Linked DNA regions of Caenorhabditis elegans. The protein of the gene in region 1 interacts with the protein of each later gene in a pairwise test. Each region holds a gene or a part of one and is shown in the gene's direction. Other genes may lie near its edges.

Evidence for each region.
Region 2: the proteins of F53A10.2 (region 1) and aha-1 interact in a two-hybrid assay, tested with the Caenorhabditis elegans proteins (one large-scale study listed by BioGRID).

The regions. Positions count from the first base shown.
Region 1 is NC_003280.10:1,221,514-1,230,942, forward strand, and holds F53A10.2 (Rap-GAP domain-containing protein), read left to right. Parts: upstream 1-2,837; coding exon 2,838-3,356; intron 3,357-4,254; coding exon 4,255-4,353; intron 4,354-4,597; coding exon 4,598-4,783; intron 4,784-5,584; coding exon 5,585-6,004; intron 6,005-6,756; coding exon 6,757-7,002; intron 7,003-7,416; coding exon 7,417-7,961; intron 7,962-8,132; coding exon 8,133-8,196; intron 8,197-8,248; coding exon 8,249-8,463; intron 8,464-8,810; coding exon 8,811-8,952; downstream 8,953-9,429.
Region 2 is NC_003279.8:10,192,860-10,200,001, reverse strand, and holds aha-1 (Aryl hydrocarbon receptor nuclear translocator homolog), read left to right. Parts: upstream 1-3,004; 5' UTR 3,005-3,011; coding exon 3,012-3,055; intron 3,056-3,218; coding exon 3,219-3,327; intron 3,328-3,771; coding exon 3,772-4,083; intron 4,084-4,134; coding exon 4,135-4,252; intron 4,253-4,536; coding exon 4,537-4,778; intron 4,779-4,821; coding exon 4,822-5,030; intron 5,031-5,515; coding exon 5,516-5,843; 3' UTR 5,844-6,077; downstream 6,078-7,142. Other genes in the region: Y106G6E.1 (Protein kinase domain-containing protein), read left to right, coding at 95-323, 374-516, 566-758, 898-1,172, 1,426-1,542, 1,591-1,716; C25A1.15 (Transposase), read right to left, coding at 2,406-2,681; mrpl-34 (Large ribosomal subunit protein mL43), read right to left, coding at 6,096-6,445, 6,541-6,760. UniProt on the Caenorhabditis elegans protein: Transcription factor. Efficient DNA binding requires dimerization with another bHLH protein, such as cky-1 or ahr-1. Regulates transcription of target genes, probably acting in complex with cky-1. Has a role in cellular differentiation.

The DNA.
Region 1 (9,429 bases):
TTTAGATTTGAATAGAAAATCCAGAATAAAAAATCTGAAATTTTTTTTTTTGGAAAAAAAATTTGTTTTTCTTAAAACTCACCAATTTACCTTTAACCCCACCATACCCTAATTTTTACTCAAAAAGGTCAAATTTCTAGACCAAAATCTGCCATTGTCCCCCTTTAAACACCCAGTTCTTCGACCATTTACCCCACTATTTTCTGACCAATTACAGATTTCACTTTTTTGTTGGTTGGCCTGTGGGGTCCTAATGACCCAGAGACACCTGACCAGTTTCTGCCAATTATCCCGTCTCATACTAAAAACGAGGGACGAAAATTTTTCTTCTCAAGACGTTTAGCTACTCTTCCGTTACGGCGTCCTCCCAGGTTGGAGACGGAAAAATGATTTATTAGTTGGTGTCAAACCTACTGACAAGGGAAGTCTTTGAGGGGGTCCGTAGATTTGGGGTTCTCATGCTAAAATTCCTACAGAAGAGTGTTAGTTATGATCTCTCCAAAAAATTTAGCTGCCCCGGTCAAGTTTCAGCAAAGTTATGACGTTTTGAAATTTCAGTTAAAAACACCATTGAAATCCACTGTCTAGCCATGCAGTCCACGCAAATCTCAGCTTGCGTGACCACCGAAAATGTGACACCCACCACATTGAGTTGAAAAATGTCCTCGGTGGCCGAGTTGGGAGTGCGCGCGTCTGATAAGATTTAAGCTTTGGTTCGATTCCTTCTATTTTTGAAATATTTTTGTATCAAAAAGTTTATAACTAAAACTTTGTTCACTATTATTCAACAAACATTTTGTTAGTTGATCATTTTTCAAAATAATTTATCTCAACGAAGTTATGCAACTTCAAAGTTGGCTAAATATTTTGCACAAAGTTCGTGAGATGTAGATCATTTCGACGGTTTACTTGCGAATAGAGAGTTAAAACTTGTGTAATGTACGTTTCATACATTTCTGAACAACAACATAGCAATTTCATAATTGTTTAGAAAAATGAAATTTTTTGAATTTTTTGCTTGGAGTTGATCAAGAAATTTTGAGCAAAAATGAAAAAAATAAAAATTTCCAAAAAGTGCGGACAATGATTCTAGGTTCCCGAATAAGAATAAAATCACTTTAAAAATGCGCAAAAATGTTTGAATGAGTTGTTTTACAACTTTATTCAACTTACAAAAATATTTCAAAAATAGAAGGAATCGAACCAAAGCTTAAATCTTATCAGACGCGCGCACTCCCAACTCGGCCACCGAGGACATTTTTCAACTCAATGTGGTGGGTGTCACATTTTCGGTGGTCACGCAAGCTGAGATTTGCGTGGACTGCATGGCTAGACAGTGGATTTCAATGGTGTTTTTAACTGAAATTTCAAAACGTCATAACTTTGCTGAAACTTGACCGGGGCAGCTAAATTTTTTGGAGAGATCATAACTAACACTCTTCTGTAGGAATTTTAGCATGAGAACCCCAAATCTACGGACCCCCTCAAAGACTTCCCTTGTGAGTTTGGAGTTTTTATTGATTTTAGGGGCTTTTGGAGCTGTATTTTCTAAATTTAAAATGTGAAAATCAGATTTAGAACCAAATTTTACCTATTCGCCCAAGTTTTTAATTAGTTTACGGTCGTATAAATGAACTGGAATTTTTAGCAATTTTCAATGTGAAATTCAAATTCAGCATGAGTTTTAGGGGTTCTACTTTAACTTTCTCTAACTTTCGCTGAGTAGCGACTCGATAAACACTGTGATGCGGAGTTTTCTTAATTGCCATGAAACTTTTTTTTCACATGTGGTGTCAAAGTGTCCCATTTCGGTGTGATCTACCAAAAATGCGGGAATTTAATGTGGAGCAGACTTCTCAACAGATTTTGTATGGTTGAGAGCGTGCTGACGTCACATTTTCCTCCACAGGAAATTCCCGCATTTTTTGTAGATCACATCTTAATATTTTTAAAAAAGTATCTCGCCACTTTATAAAGCTACAACAAAATTTTCAACCTATCCTCATAAAAATTGGCAGAACTCCGTATAAAAATGGAGCTAAAATTCAAGCCTAAGTCTAAGTCTTAAGCCTAAGCCTAAGCAGAAGCCGTAGCATGAGCCTAAGTCTAAGCCTAAGCTCAAGCCTAAGTCTAAGCCTAAGCCCAATCTCAACCCTACGCCTAAGCCGAAGCCTAAGGCAAAGCCCAAACCTGAGCCTAATCCTAAGCCGAATCCGAAGCCTGAGCATCATCCTAAGCCTAAGCCTAAGTATAAGCCTAAGCATAAGACTTATCTTGAGCCTAAACTGTGTTTAAGCTTAAATTAAAGCCTATGCCTGAGTCAAACTTTTTGAGTCGCTACTCAGCCAATATTTCAGCGACTATGCCCAATCTCAAATCTAAACCTAAACCTAAGCCTAATCCTATGCCTATGTCTAAGCCTAGACCTAAACTTGAGCCTGAATCTTAGCCTAGGCCTAAGCCTACGCCTCAGCCTTAGCCAACACCTACTCCTGGACTTAAGTTGCTACTCAGCCAATATTCCCGCCACTTCTCCGAACTTTTTCTCTTTGCCTAAAGTGCATTCATGTGTTCGTTTCATCATTTTTCATTCACTCTTCCACACCTCTCAAAACATACAAATATATATACAAACATATACATACATACACATTTAGGGCGCATCCATTTCCTATTATTTGTTCAAAACCATCTCCCCCATCATTCTCCCCATTTTTTGACCATTTCTATCCATTTTTCCCCTGGAAAAAATGCTTCCGTCTCCCGATTATTTCTCGATATTTCAAGCTCAATCTCCTATCAGTTGTAGCCCAAGACGTCTAGCTTCAACTAGACGAATGCTCCACTTTATAGACTCATCCGAGTCCGAGGATGATCTAGACGAGTTGCCACGTCATCTACCGCCCGTGATTCGGAGGCTGGCTCCGTTGCGGCATGCCACGTCACAATACAATCTGAGATCCACTGGCAGCACCTCTTCAGACTCCTCCACGGCGTCGGAAAATGATAAATGCTCCGATTTTTCAAGCCTAAAATCCCGCCGGGCTTCTTGTATTGAGCTTAACAAGGAGGATGAGTTCAAGGTGATGGCTGCTGATAAGCTTCTGATGGCTATGGAGAACATGAAGCATGCCACGTCATCACAGGCGATACGATGGAGGACGACTTCTACGGAGTCTCTGCCAGGGATTATCAAGTCGAATAGACGGCACTCGAAGGGTCCGCTGGAGTTGATTCAGGGCCTGATGGCCAAGAAGGCGGCCGTGGGGAGGCCCGCGAAATTCAAAAATTTGGGAGTTGTTGGACCGCCCACGCTTATTTCGTCGACGGTCTCGTTGCATGAGATTTCTGGATTTGTAAGGAGGGATCGGTTTTGGGGGGCTGAAACTGAGTCGCTATTCAGCCAATTTGAAGTTTAAGCTATTTTAGCTTCTGCTTAGGCTTAGGCTTAGGCTTAGGTTTAGGCTTATGCATAGGCTTATGCGCTTAGGCTTAGGTTTAGGCTTAGGATTATGTTTAGGCTTAGGCTTTGGCCTAGGCCTAGGCTTAGACTTAAATTTGTGCTGCATTTTTGTACTGATTTTTGTCAATTTTTATAGAGATAGGTTGAGCAATATAATTTTCTGCCGAAAAACTCTGAAATTGAGAAAACTAAACTGAGTCGCTACTCAGTCAATTCACCAAAAACTGAAATTTTTCTGTCTCTCACCATAATCAGCGAATTTTGTCACACTTATCCTAAAATTTTCAGCCTGAAAACTCTGAAATTGAGCAAACTCCGTATCACACTGAGCCGCTACTCAGTTAATTCTCCAAAAATTGAGCTAGAATCCAAATTCATGTATGGTGTCAGTTTTTTTGTGCTGAATTCAGAAAATTTATTTAAAAAATTCATTTCAATTTAAAAAATGATTTTTGCTCCTAGTATACATATAGTACAAAAAGTTCAGGATCCAATATTGTTACAACTTAAAATTCTTATACTTTGCACCGATTTTTGTAATCTACGCAAAGTTTTACAGCAGCTCCAAAGTTCTCAGCAATTTTCCATTAAACCTGACAAAACTCCGTGATTAACTGGGTCGCTACTCAGCCAATTCGCCAAAATTTGAGCTAGAAGGCTGAAAATTTGGGAATACGGGTAACCAAGCATACTGATTTTGAAAAAAATACTGAAAATTGAGAAAAATGACTTCAAATCCCACAAAACCACTTAGAAAACCTCGAAAATCCCCTTAACCTTCATTTTTCCAGACTCACAACCCAACTTCCGGTCACCAAAATGAGCAAACTCATCAAAAAACCAACGGATCCGCCGTACACAATCAATTGACCAGGAATATTATGAATGAGGTACATATGTGGTCACTTTTGCTCTCTAGTATTTGCACAAATTCTCACACTACGAAAAAGTAAATAGTACCTAGTAGTACTCATGGAAATGTTTGCTTTTCGTGAGAAAAAAACGAGAAAAAAAACGAGTTTTCAAGGAATTTTTTGGTATTTTTTGTGTTAGAAATTGGCAAAAACTTGTAGTATTCCATTCAAAAAATTCTCTAAAATTCTCAAAAAATTTCCAAAACTTCCATTTTTCCAGGTCCTAACAAAAGTGGGCCCATATCCACAAATAGTGCTACCATCAAATGGATTTTGGATGGATGGAGTCAATCAACAGCACCATATGGATGATCAAGTCAATAATATGAATGTGAACAGTTGTGCCAGATTCAAGCTGGAAACCGACGAGACTAGTCATTGTTATCGCCGACATTTCTTTGGAAGAGTAGGTTTTTTGAATTCTACGCATGGAGAGCTTTCAGAAAAGTACCCACAAGCCTATATTCCAAAAAAAAAGTTTTGGCTTGTAGGCGGCCTGAAACGGCCTGAATCGGCCTTTTTTTGATTCGCACGGTTAATGTTACAAAAAACGACAGTAAAGCAGCCCACTAGCCTTGTTTTTAGCAATATCGTTTTCCAGGTTTGTGCACGGCTTAAATCGGCCTGTAAGGGCTTGAAATAACTATTTCTAGAAACATAGGCTTGTGGGTACTTGAATAAAAGCCTATAACATAGTAATTTTGAATTTTTGACTTATATTTGTTGCATTTGAGTTTTGAGCCTAGAAGTGCTAGGTTTTCAAAAATCGACCAAATTTTATTTCCAATTTTGTGACAATTTTGCACAGGGCCTAGTAGTAACGTATTATTTTTGTCAATATTCGCATTGTTGAAACCGAGAGCTTTCAGAAACATACCCACAAGCCTATATTCTAAAGAAATAGATTTTCAGTCTAACTGAGGCCTGAAGCGACCTAAAACGGCCTGAAACGGCCTTGTTTAATTAGATTTGTTGAAAATGGATTCAAAAATCAAATATGCTGGTATCTATCATCTGATCACATATAAAAAGACAATACAAAATTTCAGGCCTAGTAACAGCCTAGATCGGCCTGAAACGGCCTAAAAATGCCTAAAATGAGTAGTTTTCAAAACATAGTCTTGTGGGTACATGTTGAAAACCATTTTTTACGACAAATTCAAATTTTCAATCAAAATTGCCATAACTTCGACGTAAAATTTTTCAGGAGCACCACGACTTCTTCGCCAACGACCCAATCGTAGGCCCACTGGTCCTTAGCGTCCGCACAGAAGTCATCTCCTCCTGTGACCATTTCCGTATCATTCTCCGTACCCGTAAAGGTACCATCCATGAAATTGTGTCAGCTACCGCACTAGCCGACCGCCCATCGGCTTCCCGGATGGCTAAGCTGCTCTGCGAGGAGATCACCACTGAGCAGTTCTCTCCGGTGGCATTCCCCGGTGGTTCTGAGCTTATTGTACAGTATGATGAGCATGTGCTCACGAATACCTATAAATTTGGAGTTATCTATCAAAAAGGCGGACAGACGACTGAGGAGCAACTTTTCGGAAATCCACACGGGAGCCCGGCTTTTGACGAGTTTTTGTCGATGATTGGCGATTCTGTGCAGTTGAATGGCTTTCAGGTAGGCAAATTGAGCGGCAAGTTTGATCTCTAGAAATTTAATCTCCGCCCACAAAATGGCATTGGTTTCTAAAACTCCAAAAATTCAAAAAAAAAATCGACAAAGAAGTTTCGAAAAAAAATTCTTCCTCAAAATTAAAATTTTTTGAAGAATATGTTTTGTGGTTACAGACTCCGCCCACAAATGGGCGGGGCTTCACCGACTCCGCCCACACAATGACAATTATTTATCCCAAAAAATTGGGTCACAAAACCACAGTTTCTCATCAAGTTGTCTAACTTTTCCATTCGTGAAAAGTAAGAAAAGGGGCGGAGCTTAGGAGACCATGCCCACAAAAGTTTTTTTTTTTGTATTTTCAGCAAAACGTTCAATTTTCGACTGAAAACGGGAAGGAAAATTACTTTTTATAAGCTCAGCACCATACAAAAATAGGCGTGGTTTGATAAACCCCGCCCACAAAATGGCCTAGATTTTGTTATTTTTTACGAATAATTTGAAAACATAATTTCAAGCTAAAATTTTCAAAAATTTTTCATATTTTTTTAATCAAAATTTTGCTAATAACGAGTAAACTATTTAATTTGAAATTTACAAAAAGGGAGTCGAATAAGGCTCCGCCCACAAAATGGCTCTTTTTTCCAGAACATTTTTTATAAATTTTTTGTCAAAAAAAAAAGCATATTTTGCTGTCACTTAGGCCCCACCCACAAAATGGACATGACGAAAAAATCTATAATTTTTCTAAATTTCAGAAATACCGCGGAGGCCTTGACACGGCCCACAACCAAACGGGCCATCAGTCCGTATTCAGTGAATTCAAAAATCGTGAGATCATGTTCCACGTGTCAACAATGCTACCGTATACTATTGGAGACGCCCAGCAGCTTCAAAGAAAACGGCATATTGGAAATGATATTGTGGCAATCATCTTTCAGGAGGCTAATACTCCATTTGCTCCTGATATGATTGCATCAAACTTTTTGCACGCCTATGTTGTGGTGCGTTTTCAGAGATTGATGAAATTTTGGGGAAAAACGTGAAATTTCGGCTAGAAGTTGATTTTCCAAGGTTTTTAGTAACAAATTCGAAATTGACAGCTTATTAGCTTCAAAATAAGTACCTACAAGCCTAGTTTTTGGAGAAATGGTTATTCTTGGCCGTTTGGGCTGTTTCAGGCCGTTTCAGGCCGTTTCAGGCCGTTTCAAGTCGCCCTCATTTTTGAAAACCGTTGTTTTTTAAAATAAAATTGATTTCAAGTTCACCAATTTCAAATTCAAGAGCATCTCAACTCAGGCCATTTCAAGCCAATTTAGGCCCTGAAATAGGCCGAAAACGTATTATTTTCAAACATAGGCTTGTGGGTACATTTTTAAAAGCTCTCAACGTGGCAAACGCAAATTTCAATGTTATAGGTCCAACCAATCGACGCCCTGACCGACCGTGTCAGGTACCGAGTCTCCGTGGCCGCCCGTGATGACGTCCCATTTTTCGGCCCAACCCTGCCAACCCCATCGATTTTCAAGCGAGGCCAAGATTTCAGAAATTTCCTGCTCACCAAGCTAATCAATGCCGAGAACGCTGCTTACAAGAGCTCAAAGTTCGCCAAACTTGCCGAGCGTACCAGAAGCTCGTTGCTCGACGGGCTCCACGCAACTCTACGCGAGCGTGCCGAGTTCTATGCCACACCACTACTAGAATCCACGTCATCAGGTGGCGAAAGTGCTGCCACCACGTCATCGTCATCCAACTCATATGGCGGCGGGATTTTGTCATCTGTGAAGAAGGCGTTTATCGGGAGAAGCCGGTCGGTTTCTCAGGAGGCTAGTCACGTACCACACCGCGCCGCCACGATTAATGTGACGTCACGGCCTAAAAAATCGATATCCTCGACGAGTTCGTCGACCAGTGCCCGGACACACTCACCGATTAGGGATGAGGAGGTTGTCAAGCCATATAGGTAAGGGGTTTGCGGGTTTTTTTTTTGGCGGGAAATTCAAATTTTCTAAAAAAAAGTGTTGGCGGGAGATTACAATTTACAGAATGTTTTGGCGGGAAATTCAAATTTTCAAAGAAAATTTCCCAAAAATTTTTCTGGCCAAATTATTTTTTTTTCACATTCAAATTTCAGAAAAGAATGGGAAATTTCATCTCAAGAGTCTCCGGATAACGAGCATGATTCGGATACTGGAATGGTAAGATTTTCAATTTTTTTTTTGAATTTTCAGCACAAATTTCCATTTCCAGGAATCCATGTCCTCCACAGAAATGTCAGGTCAAACTCGGGCTTCATCGTGCACATTTTGTGTAGATGACTTCCACGTGGCAGCAAATCATCAGTCCTCAGATGCAAAGCGTCTCGAGACCCTTTGTGTAGATGTTACACGACTTCAGAATGAGAAGCACGACTTGTTACGTCAGAATGTTAGCTGCAAAACTGATATTAAAAAGTTAAAGGATCGGTTAGTAATGTTTCAATTGAACAATTTGAATTCGGAAGACCGAGAGCTTTCGAAAAAGTACCCACAAGCCTATATTTCGAACAATTGAGATTTTCAGGCTTGCGCTCGGCCTGAAACGGCCTAAAATAGCCTGAAACGGTTTCGAATCGATTTATTATTTTGCAGCAAGAGTAAATATTCCGCACACTAACACAGTTTGGAAACTTAAATCGAAAGCCTATCCGCGGCCTGAAATGGCCTACGAGGGCCTGTAACGGCCTAAAATATCATGTCCTAAAAACATAGGCTTGTGGGTACTATTTCGAAAGCTGGTTTTTCACTGAATCTCATAATTTCAATACTTTCAGCCAAAGTGTGCTCTCCGAGGAGCTGGAACGCGCCAACGATGAGATTTCGCGGCTGCGGAGGATGCTGAAAAAGCCGTCAAACAGCGATATGGCGCCGGTCCACCAGCACTTTGAACGGAGCTATTCGGATGTTTCAGTTTGAGCAATGAAAACCTACAAATTCCACTAATATATGTTCAGGGTACAATTATTTCAATGACTTGCGGGCCTGTTTAACCTATTTTCTCCAGTTTTTTTTGTCTGAAATTTCACAGAATCTTCTTCCATCACACAAATTCCATACATATTCTCTCAAATTTTCACCTCCATCCCCCGATGTTTTATCTCCAGTTTTCACATTTCCAGAATTAAAAAAAAAAATAAATATATCTGAAAATATTTTCTATGTACTTTTTCATTTTTCTCCAAATTTTCTCATATACAAATTTGTCAACAATTCGAATAAAAATTAAATATGTGTATTTTTTAATAGTTAGAAAAATGCAGAATTAGAAATACACAATTCATATATCAAGAATTCAGAAAATTTAGGTAAAACCCATCAAAAACTATTAAAAAGTGGCAAAAATGGCAAAAAAGTGGCAACAATTCCCAATTTTGAAACTTCTCTAAAATGGTT
Region 2 (7,142 bases), on another chromosome or scaffold:
CAGTACAATTAACCTATTGATGGAAACATTACAAAAAAAGTGTGAAAGAGCTTCAAGTTTCTTGCAACTTCATCGGAACATTTGAATTTTTCAGATGCATCTCAATCTTCATCATATGAATCTGTTTGCTACTGGAGCATTTTCCAATGTCTACCGTGGAGTTGCTCAAACAGAATCCAATCAGGAAATCGATATTGTGATCAAAAAGACCTGGCCGCGTCACAAAGGATGTCCAATGGAAGTGAAGATTCTTGGACAGTTGGGAAAGTTGAAGCATCGGAATATTGTTCGTTTGTTGTACAGCTATCAGAAACAACATGAAGGTGTGAGCACGCTTAGTTGATAGAATAATAAGCAAATTACAAATATTCAGGTCGTATTTGTCTTGCTCTGATTTTCGAGTACATTCCATTGAATCTTTATCAGTTTCTAAAAGACAAAAACCGCCGGATTGACATTGTAGAAGTGAAGCTTATTGTCTGGCAATTGTTTCGAGGACAAGCACATTTGGAGAAGGTGCAGTTATTTTTTTGAATATGTCTCCCATTCAATCTGGAATTTTAAGGCTGACATTTGTCACAGAGACATCAAGCCTCAAAATCTACTCTACAACGCCGAAACAGGTCTGCTGAAAATATCTGATTTTGGCTCATCGTCCATCCAATCTACAAAATCACCACAGCAAAGTTATCATGTCACGAGATACTACAGACCACCAGAATTGATTTTAGGCTCCAAGTACTATGGATGCAAAATTGGTAAGAAAATTCTGAAAAAATATTCAAATTATCTGATAATTTTGTTAGATGCTTGTTGGTGAATTCTTACTAAGCCCAAGTTTACTATTAGTTACCTTGAGCAAGTCTTGGAGTTTTTTGCTAGAATATAATTTTTCAGACACGTGGTCTTGCGGATGTGTATTTGGAGAGCTACTGAAAGGCGGAATCATCTTGGCTGGAAAATCATCGAACAATCAAGCGGAGGTCATTTTCGATATGCTCGGATACCCAACAGATTCTGATGTGTCATCAATGAAAGTGAGCAGCACGAAGTTGCAGGAAGTTTTGGATTCATATGAATATAATAAATCGAAGACAACTGCCGACTTGACTTATCTCTACACACAGACAGTCATTTATCAGAAGGATCGGAGAACTACAGTCTATAATACGGTAATTATTATACGAAGAACGAGTTCATTGAAAATTCAGACAATTTTCATCAGCGACCGGTTTTAAGTGCTACATTCGGAACCATCTTAACATTTGAAACCGATTTGATGTACCACTAGTCTGTTATTGATTGCGCGGCACAAGCTAGGTACAAGATAGGCACAGAGTAGGCACCAAACGATAAGGCGCATGTGGAATCAAATCGGTTTCAGGCAAAAAGCTTTAAGAAAACCTCCAGAGAGTTGTTTTTCAGAAAATTGAGCAAGATGACATGAAAGAGTCAGTAGCAGTTCTTCTTCAAATCCTTGTCTACAATCCGAACAAGCGTCTCTCTGGAATTGAGATTCTCACTCATCCGTACTTTAATGTGGTAAGTTTATCTGAACCTTATGATTGTCACCTAACATAATGATTTTAGTTATTCAACGAGAAAACGGTGAGATTCAATAAAAAGAAGATTTTGTGTCTTTCTGCAGTCGACTTACAATCCGTGAAATCTGGAGATACAACTTTGACGAATGAATCGGTTGAGCAGACGAGTTGAATTCGAGAAAAGAGCACTGATATTTAGATTATCAATTTTGTAATATATGAACAGTTCTGAATGGGGTCTCCAAATTGAAATATATGTCACTATATCTGTCTTTTTAGAAGCATAACTAATTTGAATATGGAGTTTCGTCCTATGGCTCCTCTGGCGAAGAGCGCCTTGGACTGCTTGGCATTGTACACCAACTTTTTGCCAGAATTTGGCAGCGACAATATTTTTTTCAACAGTTTAAAACAATACAAGAAAGGTTTGGGTCAAAGTTTGACATGAATAAAATCAAACTTATGCCAAACTCTAGTGCATTCTAAATCTACAAAAGGCCGAGTGGAAAAGTCGATCTGAAACAAACATTCTGAAAGCTTGAATTATGTGTGTTTTTTTAGAAAGAAAACTTTAACTTGATAAAAAACTACACTTTTGGAACAATTTCACAAAACTCGAAAGTTGGAAACATCCAAGGAACAGTTTTCAGGTCGATATTTTTTAGTTCAAAGTGCGAGGCATGTAGCAGAATGTTTTATAGGGGCCTATGCAAAAGGTTTTCTTTCAAATAAAAAATGATTTTAATTGAGAGTGTGAAAGTTAAAAAAATTTGATCAATCAATTGTGGTCATTCAACTTTCAAATACTGGTCACACTATAAATGCGTGCATTATTTCACTTATTTTCTTGCATTATCACTATCACATTTTTATATGCCCTATCATCCATCCATCATCTTCTAATTTTTTTCCGTTTCCTCCTTCATCATCCTTAAAAAGTCTCTCCCCTCTAATTCCATCTGTTGCTTCTTCTCTCAAATATCCAGTGACCATATGTAGGGGGGTCACTCTCAATTTCTTTTCATTTCTTTCTCTCTTCATAGTAATAATACGGTCCTCAACGGTGTTTGGTGACGAGGTACTGGACAAATAGAAAAAGCGCGCACGCCCCTCTCTCTCACACCATTCCTTTCCCATCCCCCATCATCCTAAAGAAATATTGATTGGTGAGAGTATATGAAAAATGGAGACTCAGACATACGTATCGCGTGTTTAAAGACATTGTGTCTACAATGGAGAGTATTCTCTGACGCATCTTACTCTAGATTTTCCATACTTTCTCTCTCATCGGGCAAGGAAGCGACGATTTACATAATTAATTGATTTACTCTCGATCCATTGCACAACTTGTTTTAAAATTCAATTTTTTAAATTCTTCACCTAATATATTCAATTGCCTATAATTTGTTTTGGTGTCTTTCAATTCTTCTTTTCGACAGAAAAAAACTTTTCTTTATAGTTTTCAGAATGGCTCAGGATATATTTATGGATCCATGGCAATCGGCGACGAGGTAAGGCATAGTGTGACATTATTAGCTTAAGTTATGGCTTTTTATTGCAAAAAATGTGTTGATTAAAATTGGTTTTCTATGCAATACAACTATTCAGATATGCTTATTGCTGGTTATTTTTGGATACTTCTAAACTTATATTTTAAATTTTAAATAATTTCAGCTTCGCAATGGAAGATGAAGATATGGGCATGCCATCTGGAAAATATGCTCGAATGGAAGATGAAATGGGAGAGAATAAGGAAAGATTTGCAAGGGAAAATCATTCAGAGGTGAGGTTTTGAACATTTATATCTGAAAATTTATACTGCTATGTTTCATTAATTCAAATAAAAAGTACGATACTCTGGGTATTGTTTGACCTGTAAAACTGCAATTTTCATGGGACGTAACACAACTCAAAATTAAATTTCCAGCGATTTTAAATTTTTTAAAAATTTCTACATATGGTGCTAAAATTATCGAGTCATAGAGAACTTTTTAAAAAATTATTTCAAACTGTATAATTAAAATTCAAATAGGCACAATTTTAGAGTTTCACATATCATGAATTCGGAAGCCGACCGAAAAATCTTTCTTTCTGCAAGTATTAAACTAAAAACTAAAAGTTTAAAAATTTGGCAATTTACCAACCCTTTGGTTGAAATTTCTGAAATCAAAATTCAATATGGAAAAAGTAAAATTTCTTGCTTCAAATTCAACTGAAAACGTTTTAGATTGAGCGACGTCGCCGTAACAAAATGACTCATTACATAAATGAATTAGCCGAAATGGTTCCACAATGTGCATCACTTGGACGTAAACCCGATAAACTAACGATTCTCCGAATGGCAGTATCACACATGAAAGGAATTCGAGGACATACGGCACAAGATGAAACTTCATATAAACCATCATTTCTTACGGATCAAGAATTGAAACATTTGATTCTAGAAGCAGCGAATGGATTTCTTTTTGTTGTTTGTTGTCAGACTGGAAAAGTGTTATATGTTGCTGATTCAATTACTCCCGTACTTAATTTGAAGCAGGTGAGCAAGATTTGAATCTTTCATTATTGAAATATAAATATTAATTTTTAGGAAGATTGGCTTCAAAGAAATTTGAATGAACTCATACATCCAGATGATCAAGATAAAATTAGAGATCAATTGTGTGGAAGTGAAGTATCAGTTAATAAAGTTCTCGATTTGAAATCTGGTGAGTTATCATAAAAAGAGAAGAGGAGAGATTCAAGGATTTTTTGAATTTTTTCCAAAGTAGTCATATAACTTGGAACCGTTTACAGTAATAACCACTTACTTCAGTCAATCGAATTAAGTAGTATTTGTTTTAAAAGCATCTATTGTAATTTCACTAGATTTTGGCATGCCCAAAATTTGTGATTTTCCGTCAAAAAGGTATCTGCTCGCTCTTAAAATGTGTGTATCTTTAAAAGTACAGTAACCCACTTCAAGTTAACTATCAAAATCATTGAATTTTAGGATCAGTGAAACGCGAAGGAGCATCAACACGAGTTCATATGTCATGTCGTCGTGGATTCATCTGTCGAATGCGTGTCGGAGCCCTTGAACCACTTCATCGTCTCAGAAATCGCCGTCCCTTATTCCAACATGCTGGTCAAAATTACGTTGTGATGCATTGCACAGGATATATCAAAAATGCTCCACCACAGGGAATTAATGCTCCAGCTTCATCTTGTTTGGTGGCAATTGCCAGGTTACAGGTTAGAATAGTTTACGATGCAGATAAACGTGATTTAATTAAAGGTAGCATCAATGCCGGTCTGTGCTGATCCAACATCAACAAATCAATTTTCGGTTCGTGTTTCGGAAGATGGAAAAATGACATTTATTGATGCGAGGGTTAGTGATTTAATTGGTTTGAGCAGTGATCAACTTATCGGAAGATATTGGTGGAATCTTGCACATCCAGCAGATGAGAAGACCCTTCAAGACTCATTTGTGGCTCTTTTAAGGTAAGTTTTCGTAAAAAAACCTTTTTGAACAATTTGCGTCCATCAAATTTCATATTACCTGCTTTCAAGAGTGTGTGCGGTTTTAAAGAGTACTGCAATTTCAAACTTTCTACTCTGTAGAATTTTCGTCGATTTTTCATAGTTTTTCTCACTATTTGTAAAAATACATGTTGTCTTATGTGAGTTTTTAAACAAATAAATATACCTTTATCAAAAAAACTATGAAAAACCAAAGAGAATTGAGTAGAAACATTAAAATTACCGTACTTTTTAAAGGCTCAAACCTTTTTCATTAAACAAACATTTGTCTTGTCGAGACCAGGTACCGTAGTTTTTTAATCGTAATTTTCGCGGTTCTAGGGAATATTTTCAGGCGAATTTTTCACGAATAATATTCGTGGCGGGACCATTTCGAAAAATGTACTTTCCTTTAAACCTATAGCAGTAGATTCCATGTTAACTAAATAAAAACATTTCCATTTCAGTGACCAACCAATGAGAATAAATATTCGAGTACGTACCAGTACTGATTACATTCCATGTACTGTGTCTGCATACAAATTCATGAATCCATACTCGGAACAGTTCGAATACGTGGTTGCAACACATCAAATTGCTCCACAAGAAGATATTAATAATTGGGTCACTGCACCAACTGTTCCTCAACCTCAAGCCAGTGAATTTGGAGAGCTCGGCGGTGCTCCAAGTGCTGTGGATTACGGACAATCGAGTAGTGGAGGATGGAGACCTGAAGCTCAAGGAGCACCACAGGCACAATGGCAATGGGACCCGATGAATGGATATAACCAGTGATTATAATTTCTAGAAATTGATATATTTTTTTTTGAAGCCTATTCCAATGATTCTCATTTCTATCTACTTCTTGAAAAGTTTTCTTTTTTTTTCAATTTCCTTAACTTTTCTGTTCAGTATTTTTCCTTTTTTCTGGACCAACGAGTTATTCAACTCATTCTGAACACTAAATTTTATTACTAATAATATTGTCAAAAAATCAAAAGAAAACAACGAATAAATGAAAACAACTATAAAATAACGGATTATTGCTTATTTTGGTGGATTTTGAAGAATATATTCCGTCGCCGACGTTGCCGTTGACTTGTGCTTTGAGAACTGTTTCGCTGGAAGTTGTTCCGTGTTCATTTCTGTTGGAAGCCATGTTATCGGTGTCCATTGACCTTGAATAGAAGGAACCAATGCACTTTGACGACTCTCTAGCTTCACAACTGGTTCGCCGCTTCTTGAGAATAACAAATGCACATCTTTGCTCACTTCGTCTTGTGTCATGTTTTTTGCATTGATCTGTAGAGTCCGACCATTTCCATATTCTGCGCGGATTGATGGGTTCGAGTTTCGCACAGGCTGGGCATAGATCACAACTGATGGGTTTTTACGGCCTGAAAAAAACGGATTTCCTTCTTTATTTAAAAAAAAATGAAGCTTTTAATTTAGATTCTCTATTAATTTTTTGATCGTAGACAGAAATTCTTACCGATTTCAACGAGTTGATTCTCAATAAAATTGCGAACTCCGACACTGGATTCACTTTGTTTGCAAAACCTGACAGTGATGCGATGAAGTTGGTTGGTGTAACGCGAGATTCCATTATAAGCCGGAATTTTCAGAAAATCAGAAAATCGCCATCCAAAGTTCAGAGCTTTTGCGGCTGTGTAAATGGGTTTGAGGCGATCAACACGTGGAACCGATGGCATCTAAAAATGAGAGTTTGATAAAATAAACTTTAAGTATAATATTGAAATAGAATATAAGAAATCGTACTGTTAAATTGGCAAAATGAAGAAAGGCAACGGCGCTCTAATGAAAAGAATACGAGCGTCTTGTTCAAAAGCGACGACAGCTGATGCGAAAACAGGTTTCGCGAGGTTATTTACACAAACAAATTTCATTAAAATAGAAAAAACGTGACTAATCATCACATATCAAGAGATTTTGTTGAAAATATCGAGCCAAAAAATTAATAAATTCCATTTGAAGCTCCGAGAATTCTAGGCCACGGCCGTGTCGTACACGAGGACAAAATTTTTTTCCTGTGATTTCTTCTTGTTATTGCACTTTGCCCCCTATTTAGCCACA